Nothobranchius furzeri: one gene and its partners. The protein of the gene in region 3 interacts with the protein of the main gene of each other region in a biochemical or structural test. Links are inferred from orthologs where the notes say so. Each region holds a gene or a part of one and is shown on either strand. Other genes may lie near its edges.

The links. The genes of interacting proteins can lie anywhere in the genome.
Region 1: the proteins of zfyve9a (region 3) and rnf11b form a complex in vitro, tested with the Homo sapiens proteins (2 studies listed by BioGRID). The link is inferred for Nothobranchius furzeri from reciprocal best matches to the Homo sapiens genes ZFYVE9 and RNF11.
Region 2: the proteins of zfyve9a (region 3) and smad3a form a complex in vitro, tested with the Homo sapiens proteins (2 studies listed by BioGRID and IntAct, with this or other methods). The link is inferred for Nothobranchius furzeri from reciprocal best matches to the Homo sapiens genes ZFYVE9 and SMAD3.

The regions. Positions count from the first base shown.
Region 1 is NC_091748.1:56,811,056-56,814,202, forward strand, and holds part of rnf11b (RING finger protein 11b), read right to left. Parts: intron 1,682-3,147; coding exon 1,510-1,681; 3' UTR 1-1,509. UniProt on the Homo sapiens protein: Essential component of a ubiquitin-editing protein complex, comprising also TNFAIP3, ITCH and TAX1BP1, that ensures the transient nature of inflammatory signaling pathways. Promotes the association of TNFAIP3 to RIPK1 after TNF stimulation.
Region 2 is NC_091749.1:43,537,968-43,541,485, reverse strand, and holds part of smad3a (mothers against decapentaplegic homolog 3a), read right to left. Parts: coding exon 3,314-3,518; intron 3,229-3,313; coding exon 3,091-3,228; intron 1-3,090. UniProt on the Homo sapiens protein: Receptor-regulated SMAD (R-SMAD) that is an intracellular signal transducer and transcriptional modulator activated by TGF-beta (transforming growth factor) and activin type 1 receptor kinases.
Region 3 is NC_091751.1:42,024,091-42,028,152, forward strand, and holds the end of zfyve9a (zinc finger FYVE domain-containing protein 9), read left to right. Parts: intron 1-671; coding exon 672-822; intron 823-922; coding exon 923-1,003; intron 1,004-1,078; coding exon 1,079-1,241; intron 1,242-1,550; coding exon 1,551-1,656; intron 1,657-3,006; coding exon 3,007-3,183; intron 3,184-3,253; coding exon 3,254-3,415; 3' UTR 3,416-3,551; downstream 3,552-4,062. UniProt on the Homo sapiens protein: Early endosomal protein that functions to recruit SMAD2/SMAD3 to intracellular membranes and to the TGF-beta receptor.

The DNA.
Region 1 (3,147 bases), on a different chromosome or scaffold from region 3:
ATGTTCTGATATTCTGACATCTAATCTCCTCGACTCACTCAGTTTACGTTGTAACACGGATGTTTCATCTCCACAAATAACACAAGCCTGGAGGAGTTTTCCCATGCGGTAAAGTTGCTAATGCTAATAGTTAGCTTCTACTAGCCGAGATATTCTCTACCATTCCCTGGACACTAAACGTCTACAGCCGTCGCGAGTCATGACGGATGTTAAGTGACAGTGTGAAGTTGATCTGAGCTTGTCTAATCCTAGTATTTTCATCTTTTTTATTGGTGGCTAATGCAGGAAACAAGGGTAGAAGACTATTTTCACAATAAGCCTGCATGTGAAACTCAAGAGTGACTAATCATATTTCAAAACTAACAAGTAAACAACAGTTTCTCAATGAACTTGGTCTTTAAGTAATAGGTTTAGTGGAACCAGTTGACATAACTTGGTTAAGTAAATTCAACATTAGATTTCTGAGAGTGCACTTTGTTCTTGACTGTACTAACTAGTTCTGTCAGTAATTCTTTAAAACTTTTACACAGGAACCTACTTAAAAACAGCTGAAAAATCCCTTTAAGTACTGCAAATTTCAAATTCTGATCAAAGTGTCGCTCATCTGTTGACTTTTTGCTTTGGCCTGTAGTCTGAGATCTCATCAGTGATAATTTTAGCATCATCACATGAATGAGTGAAGCACATACTTCCTTTTGCTGAGTCTGTGTTTTTGGTAAACCGATTCAACACGAAGTCCTTATGTTGATTTGCAAAATAACTAAAGAACAGATTTCACAAAGCCACAGAACAGCCAATCGACACAGCGACCATTCAGCTAACGTTTCACAGGAAAGATCTGCAGAGACAAGTCAAGGTAGGTGTGCAGAAGACGGAGGGAGCCTGGTAGTCTGTGCTACTATGTTGTGTGTTCGTCTCTACTAGTCTCGTCTACAACAACCCTGTAACAGTTTCTTAGGAAATACAACTACCAATCAACTTTTCCTTCGGTTATGAAAGTTTTCACTTACCAACAGACAGAGAAAAACAATCTGCATTCTTGTAATGAAAGTAAAAGGAAGGGAGTATGCTTCTGTTTGTGTGTGTGTGTGTGTGTGTGCCAAATTTGAAAACAGAACATAAAAATATTTCTCAGTCATGATAGTTAATATTCACAGGTTCCAGCTGCTTCTCTGTCGCTCGCTTCATGCACACACCCGGGCTTTCTGCACTCATCTTTGACTCCTCTCTCCTCCCTGCTCTTGTTCTTTATTCCTCCTGTCCTTTCTCAGATGCAGTCCTGTCCAGCAGGCCAACTGAGGAAATGGTGTACACACACACACACCGTACATATATTTATAATTATAAATTTTTATGCACAAACATTATTCATCCTACGTTATTTTACGATCAATGCTTTGAAATCACCATCTTACTAATCCAGGATATAAGTTGGGGAAGTTGATGTTTAGTGTATTTAGAGTGTCCATGGATTTGTTCAGGTCCTGTGTGGTCCAGGGGGTGCTTGTGTCAGTTGGTCTCGTAGGAGGAGAGCAGCGCAGCGTCCACAGGCTCCATGCAGGAGGGGCAGGTGAAGGATCTCATCAGCCAGTCGTCTATACAGTCCAGGTGGTAGATGTGCATGCAGGGCAGGAACCGGATGGGGTCTCCATAAACAAAGTCCATCATACAGATGACGCACCTGCAGAGGTGAGAACATACCATCGTAAACTCTCCTCAATGCACAAGACCTATCTCAATGACTTCTCTGGTGTATCAAAATGAAAATTACTAAAAAAAAAAAGATTTTACTTTAAGCTAAAGCTTTAACATTTATCTTAGTAAACTTAACCAGCTTTGCCGTTTTCACATCAGGGTCGGTCCGGCCCAGGTATGGTATATTGTGTTCACATCTGGGTAGCCTGTATTTTTTTTCGTGCTCCACCGACCATATTTTCAGCCCTCTTCCCCAGGCGGGCTGCTTTGGGCTGAACTGACCCAACACAACCTCTGCAGACCGACTGACTGGCTCAAATTCATGCCTACCATTAAGGGAAGCCTCTGACTGACAAAGACAAATCAGCCAGCAGGGGCTTCCGCATGTGGGATTCATTATCATTCTGGAAACTGAGGAGTAAACACTGCCTCTGACTGAAGCTGCAGGAGCTCTCTGTCTCTGTCACTGAGACGTGCTGTGAAGAGCACACACACAGGGAGCGCTGTGGAGGCTTGCATGCTGCCCTGCGCGAGGACAGACAGCAGTCAGGATGCAATATCAGAGTCAGAGAATGCAAAAGCAACGCTTTGTTTACTTAACTTAAGGGAGGCATCACAGATTTCTCAGTGCATCTTTTCCCTGCCCATGTGCTCTGAGATTTCCACATTCCTAAAAAGAATGTGTGAACAAAACCTACCGGTGCAGGACCCTGATCTGGAGCCACCCAGCCTGGGCCAAATGTGAAACTGGCTTTTGACAACACTCTGCGGCCCTCCGCTGACCAAAAACCGCACTTAATAGTTTAGTGGAGCAGGTAGGTGTCCTAGGAGGCGCTCTTTACCTTCTTTATGGCTGTTAGCTGTAATGTTAGTGGTTAGCATTTTCAGTTTGCCAATCATCAATATAAAGCAGAAAAAGAAGAAGTTTGCTTTTTCTGTTGGCATCATGGCAGAGCCTGGAAGTAAAAGTAAGAGTAATGTCTCTTGATATGAAGCAAAGAGCTACAACCAGAGTTAACATAAGCATGGCCTACACTAGTTTGAGGGAGCTAAAGGATGCTACAAAATCACGGACTGATTGTGACCTGGCTTTGTTGCTACTGGATTTATAAGTATTTATAAATATTTTTTGTCCTACAGTGTGGATCTTTTTATTTCATGGTTTATTTTAGCATTAGTTAGGTCAAATTTGTGTTAGCTTGTTATTAGTGCTAGCTACAGTTGGGTTGTTTACAACAGTTGTTATCGTACTTTCAACCAGTAGGATGGAGGAGCAGAAAACTGCTCACTCTTACTTTAAAGTGATTTAGAAAAAAACAATTTTTGCATTACAGCAGTGTGTACTTTCTAGGGATGTGAATCTCAGAGCAACTCACAATTTGATTCGATTCCGATTCTCAGGGTGCCGATTCGATTCGAAATCGATTTAAATCGATTCACAATCAATATTAA
Region 2 (3,518 bases), on a different chromosome or scaffold from region 3:
TGTCGAGTTTGGTGGCAGGAGAATCTCGTCTCTGCTTTTTGCGGATGATGTGGTCCTCCTAGCTTCATCCAGCTCTGACCTTCAGCTCTTGCTGGGTAGGTTCGCGGCCGAATGTGAAGCGGCTGGGATGAGGATCAGCACCTCCAAATCTGAGACCATGGTTCTCGACCGGAAAAGGGTGGCTTGCCACCTCCGGGTCGGGGGAGAGGTCCTACCTCAAGTGGAGGAGTTTAAGTATCTCGGGGTCTTGTTCACGAGTGAGGGTAGGAGGGATCGGGAGATCGACAGGCGGATTGGTTCGGCGTCTGCAGTGATGCGGACGCTGAGCCGATCTGTCGTGGGGAAGAGGGAGCTGAGCCAGAAAGCCAGGCTCTCGATTTACCGGTCGATCTACGTCCCAATCCTCACCTATGGTCATGAGCTTTGGGTAATGACCGAAAGAACGAGATCGCCGATACAAGCGGCCGAAATGAGTTTCCTCCGTAGGGTGGCCGGGCTCAGCCTTAGAGATAGGGTGCGGAGCTCGGACATTCGGGAGGGATTCGGAGTAGAACCGCTGCTCATCCGGATCGAAAGGAGCCAGTTGAGGTGGTTTGGGCATCTGGTCAGGATGCCTCCTGGACGCCTCCCCGGGGAGGTGTTTCGGGCATGTCCTGCCGGCAGAAGGCCCCCGGGTCGACCCAGGACACGTTGGAGAGGTTACATCTCCAATCTGGTCCGGGAACGCCTTGGGGTCCTGCCGGAGGAGCTGGTGGACAAGGCCGGGGAGAGGACGGCCTGGAGCTCCCTAATTGGGATGCTGCCCCCGCGACCCGGACCCGGATAAGCGGAGGAAGACGAAGACGAAGATGTACATCTCCTTTAAGCCCCATGAGATGTCTAAGCTGCAGCTGTTACACACCTGCTTAGACTCTATCAAAACCTGGATGGCTGGGAGCTTTCCACAGCTGAATGAAGATAAGACTGAGATCCTCATCTGTGCCCAAGACAAGCTGGTTCCCAAAGTCAGAGACTCTCTTGGTCAGCTTGCTTCTCACACCAAACCCTCTGCCAGGAATCTTGGAGTGACCTTTGACCCAGCTCTCACCCTGGACTCTCATGTCAGTTCTCTTGTTCGCTCTTCCTTCTTCCATCTCAGGAACATTGCTAAGCTGAGTCCCATTCTGTCCCGCTCTGAACTTGAGACAGTTATCCACACCTTCATCTCCTCACTCTTAGACTACTGTAACTCTCTTTTCACGTGTCTGAGCAGAACTTCCCTGAACCATCTACAGGTGGTTCAGAATGCCTGTGCTCGGCTTCTGACCAAGTTCTCCAAATACACCCACATCACCCCGCTTCTCCTCCAGCTTCACTGGCTGCCAGTCAACTTCAGGGTTCATTTCAAGATCCTGGTTCTGGTCTATAGGGCCTTACATGGACAAGCACCATCATACATTGGTGATCTTCTTTGTCCCTACACCCCCAGCAGGTCCCTGAGGTCCAGTGGTCAAAGCCTACTGGTTGTGCAGCACCAGGCTAAAGACCAAAGGTGACAGATCATTTGCTGCTGTGGCCCCCAGACTCTGGAACTCTCTCCCCCTGAGCCTGAGATCAGGGGATTCAGTGGTCTCCTTCAAAAAGCAGCTGAAGACTCACTTGTTCAAGCTGGCTTTTGTATGACCTTCTTCACCACTCTCTCTTTATGCTCTTAGTTACTCTCTCTCTTTCTTAACCTTTTTTTAATCACAATTGTCTATTTTTGCTCATTTAAAATATATTTTTAATCATTTTCCATATTTTTTACATTTTTTGTTTTTGTGAAGCACCTTGTGATTTTTATCTTGAGAGGCGCTATAGAAATTATATTTTCTTCTCCCCCCCCCCATCCCCCCCCCCCCCCACCACCACCACCACCAAAATTAAACAAGTGCCAAGGATATCCGATAAGATTATCTTCAGAGCCATCACAGTAATCTGCCGTGGGATCTTCAGAAGGGGAGAATTGGGTCAAGAAGTACCCTGCCGTGTGAACCGGTCTGTAGAAGACTGCTTATTTGAAAGTAACTTAGGAGATGAAACATTCGCGTAAGAACCTACAAACTCCAACATGGACCTGAGCAAACATCTCCTTTGGTAAATAAAGAGCTCATGTCTGTGTTTTTAATGAGAGGAGAGATGAGTCAGAGGAGATATCCTTGAGTTGATGATGACAGAGGTGATGTCACAGATAAGATGATATATAAGCAGCACAGCAGCTGAGAATAACTCAGTTTTAATTCATCTAGACATCTAATAACACCTAATTCTCACAAAAGGTTCCTGACCATACACACTACATACCATACCAAGTTTATTTGTATAGCACATTTAAACACCGCATGAGAGCCGACCAAAGTGCTGAACAAAAACACACAATAAAAACAATCAAAAATAAAAACTAAAACCATTAAAATCGAGTAATCCAACTCGAAAAGAAAAGGAGAAAGAGAATAAGTTAGACTGAATTAAAAGCCAACGAATAAAAGTGAGTTTTTAAACGAGACTTAAAAAGGGAAAGAGAGTCTGATCAGGAGGGGCAAGTGGTTCCAGAGCTTCGGTGCACAAACCGAAAAGGCGAGCTCCTCGCGGGATTTACAGCGAGAGCTAGGGACATGTAGGAGGTGCTGGTCGGCTGATCGGAGGGATCTTGTAGGGACATACGGGTGAATGAGCTCAGACAAGTAGCTAGGTGCTAAGTTATTGAGGGATTTAAATACAAAAACCAGGATCTTAAACTCTATACGGAGATGGATGGGGAGCCAATGGAGATTTGCTAAAACTGGTGTGATGTGTTCTCGCTGCCTGGTGCCAGTCAAGAAACGAGCTGCTACGTTCTGCACAAGCTGAAGTCAAGCGAGGGTGGAGGAGGAGATACCAAAGAGCACTGAATTACAATAGGAAGTAATAAATGCATGGACAACTGAATACACACTACATAGTTTCCAACACAGCTGGGGATCAAGCTACCAACCCAGTTTCCATCCATCACTCTACGCTCTCATCTGTATCTTTTCCCAACTCATCACAGTCTATAAAGGATTCTGCTGACTCCATCAGCTGGACACACACCTGGGGGGATCTTGCAGACAGTGGCGGGGTGCCAACCATAACGCTGATTACAGTTGGGGCTCTGGACGAAGATAGCGCTATCACTGAGACACTCTGCAAACACTTCTCCTCCGATGTAGTACAGCCGCACACCACGCCCTGAGAGAGAGAAACGCAGAAGCACGGATGTCACAGAGACGTTAACCAGACAGTTTTATCTGTTATAATCAGAGCTGATGCCCACCGATGTGTCTGCGTGTTAACTCCACTGCTGCATTGCGGTTGACGTTGGACAACAATCCGAGGCAGAAACGCTCAGAGTTTGAGGGGTCTGTGAAGCCATCCACCGTCAACGAGGGCTGTGAGGCGTGGAAGGTCTCCCCTACTCGCTGGTTCAGCTCGTAGTAGGAAATGGAGCACCAGAACGCTGGCTCACAGTATGTTACTGG
Region 3 (4,062 bases):
TAATTACAGACACGGATCACTTTTCTTTTGACCGATTAAGTTGTTCACATTATTTATTTGTTTAAAAAGTAGAAACGCATCTAATGGAACACAAAACGTTCCCAGTCACGATGCTCGACACGTTACCACGATTACCAAACGGTCTGGTATTTCTCCGAGGCTCATATGTCGTTTCACTTACAGCTTTGTGTTGAAATGGTTTGAATTTTTTCTGAAATTACATTTTACACCAAAAACGAACAGAGTTCTCAGCTCTGAGGAGCCTCCTGCATCGGTACGGTGAGAATAGCTGGATTTTTATCTGAAGTGTCTTTAATGTAATCATCAAAAATCATCTGCTGGAAATGATTAAACACCAGTTAGCTGAGTGAGTGAACGTATGAAACGCACACTGCTGCAGAGGAGTATTCAGCCCACTTGTGATAACGGTTCAGCCTCTGGGGTGTGTGCGAGCGTCAGAGCAGGCTTTGGCTGCTGATGCACTGACAGATGGGAAACCAGCGATGTGAAGTGGGAGTCATCGCCCAGCAGCTTGCGGGCGAACGATTAGCGCAGCAAGTGGTTAAAGCGCTCCAGATTTTCAGTTTTATTTCTGATCAGAGATGCAGGTGGAACCTCCAGTCAGAACCGTCCCATTTGAACCGGGTTCTGCGGTATGTTTGTCCTTGCAGCTGATGAAGGCCATGAACAAGTCCAACGAGCATGTGCTGGCCATGGGGGCATGTTTCAACGACAAGGCCGACTCCCATTTAGTTTGTGTTCAGAACGACGATGGGAACTACCAGACGCAGGCCATCAGCATCCATCACCAGCCACGTAAAGGTGGCTTCTCTCCTCAGTACTCTTGTCTGTTTGACTGAAAACAAAAAACCCCGCTGTGAATCTTGGCTTCACTTGTTTATTTTAATCTGTTCTCCTCCAGTTACTGGAGCCTGCTTCTTTGTGTTCAGTGGAGCTCTAAAAGCCTCGTCGGGATTCTTAGCCAAGACCAGCATCGTAGAAGGTGAGACCTGTAGAAACACCATAAATACTTCCCCTGTGAGAAGTGCTGCAAAACTTTAACGGGTCTCCTTTTTAGATGGTGTGATGATCCAGATCACAGCGGAGACGATGGACTCTCTACGGCAAGCCCTGAGGGACATGAAGGACTTCACCATCACTTGTGGTAAAGCTGACCAGGAGGAGAGCCAGGAGCAGGTCCAAGTGGTCTGGACAGAAGACGACCACAACTTCAACAAGGGGTGAGACTGAGAGACGAGGGAGGAGACCCTTTTGTGTCCCCGCTGGTGTTTTAATGTAACGTCTTCATGGGAACCAGAACCTCTGCAGAACGATGGGACCGAGGTCCAGATCAGCTAAAGTAAATGTAGCTTCTGTTCTCGGAAGAGTTCCACTTCCTGTTGAGTCTTGAAGCAGCCTGTGTGCCATCGCTCTGTCAGAGCTGCTGATGGCGCTGGTATTTGTGTCGCCCAGAGTTTTGACAGGAAACTCCTCTTCATCTTTTCTTCTGCCGTTAGTTTGTGTGTAACATAAATCTGTCTTCATCTCAGCGTCATCAGCCCCATTGATGGGAAATCGATGGAGTCCATCAGTAGCGTAAAGATCTTCCACGGCTCAGAGTTCAAAGCAAACGGCAAAGTCATCCGCTGGACTGAGGTAACACACACACACACACGCACGCACGCGCGCGCGCGCACACACACACGCACGCACACACACAGCTCTGTAAACTAAGGTTTATGAAGGAAATCAGGCCACTGCTCTCACAGAAGAAGAAAGTATCATTTCTATAGCGCCTCTCAAGATAAAAATCATGAGGCGCTTCACAAAAAACAAAAAATGTAAAAATATTTTAAAAAATTAGAAAATGGTTAAAAATATATTTAAAATGAGCAAAAAATAGACAATTGTGGTTAAAAAAATGTTAAGAAAGAGAGAGAGTGAATAGGAAAGAGGGAAATCAGTGGATCCTGAGGAAGGTGGAATAGGTGGGGAGAGCAGAATAGAGAGAGAGTGGTGAAGAAGGTCATACAAAAGCCAACTTGAACTAGTGAGTCTTCAGCTGCTTTTTGAAGGAGTTCACTGAGTCCACTGATCTCAGGCTCAGGGGGAGAGAGGTCCAGAGTCTGGGGACCACAGCAGCAAATGATCTGTCACCTTTGGTCTTTAGCCTGGTGCTGCACAACCAGTAGGCTTTGGTCACTGGACCTCAGGGACCTGCTGGGGGTGTAGGGACTAAGAAGATCACCAATTTAAGATGGTGCTTGTCCATGTAAGGCCCTATAGACCAGAACCAGGATCTTGAAATGAACTCTGAAGTTGACTGGCAGCCAGTGAAGCTGGAGGAGAAGCGGGGTGATGTGGGTGTGTTTGGAGGACTTGGTCAGAAGCCGAGCACAGGCATTCTGAACCACCTGTAGACGGTTCAGGGAGGTTCTGTTCAGACAAGAGAAAAGAGAGTTACAGTAGTCTAAGCGTGAGGAGATGAAGGTGTGGAGAACTGTCTCAAGTTCAGAGCGGGACAGAATGGGACTCAGCTTAGCAATATTCCTAAGATGGAAGAAGGAAGAGCGAACAAGAGAACTGACATGAGAATCCAGGGTGAGAGCTGGGTCAAAGGTCACACCAAGATTCCTGACGGAAGGTTTGGTGTGAGAAGCAAGCTGACCAAGAGAGTCTCTGACTTTGGGAACCAGCTTGTCTGGGGCACAGATGAGGATCTGAGTCTTATCTTCATTCAGCTGAAGAAAGCTCCCAGCCATCCAGGTTTTGATAGAGTCTAAGCAGGTGTGTAACAGCTGCAGCTTAGACATCTCATGGGGCTTAAAGGAGATGTACAGGACCAAACCACCCTCCATCCCAGGAGGCTGTGGGTATACTAGAGGCTAAACTCTGACGTTGCTCATCTGCAGAAATGTGCTGCCTCCTGTAAAGATTAAAAAGCAAATCAATCTTTTCACAGGTTGTCCGTTACTCAAATGCGTCAAATGTCATGATTGCCTTCAGGTATTTTTCCTCCAAAGTGAAGACCAGCCCAACAGCCTGAGCGACCCGGCCGACCACAGCCGGCTGGCGGAGAACGTGGCCCGAGCGTTCTGCATGGCGCTGTGTCCACACCTGAAGCTGCTGAAGGAGGACGGCATGGCCAAACTGGGCCTCAGGGTAACGCTGGATTCTGACCAGGTAGGACAGATCCAGAGACAAGTTACTATGGAGTCCCTGTCGGATGACTTCTCTCTGTTCACCTGTTCAGGTGGGTTACCTGGCAGGAAGTAACGGCCAGCCTCTCCTGCCTCAGTACCTGAGCGACCTGGACAGCGCTCTGATCCCAGTCATCCACAGCGGAGCCTGTCAGCTGAGCGAAGGCCCGGTAGTCATGGAGCTGGTCTTCTACATCCTGGAAATCATCTCCTAGAGAACCCCCCCCCCCCATCCCCCCCATGTCATCTCCCCTCAACCTTCCTCACCTCAGCAGAACCACACAACTGTGGCGTTTCTTCAGTCAAAGCTATGCATCCACCCACCATCTGCTTTGACCCAGAGGCGTTTTGGTGTCTGAGGAAGTGTGAGTGGGTGGGCGGAGCCTCACAGCCACTGCCTAAATAACACCACATGTGGCTATTTGGACAGACCTGCATGCTCCTCAGCTTCCTCCCAAAGTCACAGTCAGCTGGAGGCGCTGAAGCAAAGAACTGTGGGTAAAACTTGCCTCTGTAGCACGAGCACCGTTGCAGATCCATCGCTGGAAACTTTGAGGGGGAGAAACCTACAGATCGCTGGAGGTGGAAGAAGGTGCCTGTGTGGTGATTTTTGTTGTTTTTTTGCACCGTGGTGCTCAGTGCCTACAGCAAAGAATCATCAGGGGGGTCACTTGTCAAGCTTTACTCTTCAGTCACCAAACGCTTTCCGTCATGGCTGCAGACTTGTGTATATTTTTATAAGCAGAGCAGTTCCTACATGTTACACGTGTAGCTTCCAGATCTGTTACAGAAAAGTGACGTCAGAGTCCGATGTCCTGTTGAACTAGATTACTGACACAAAACCCGTTTATTCTGCAGATAA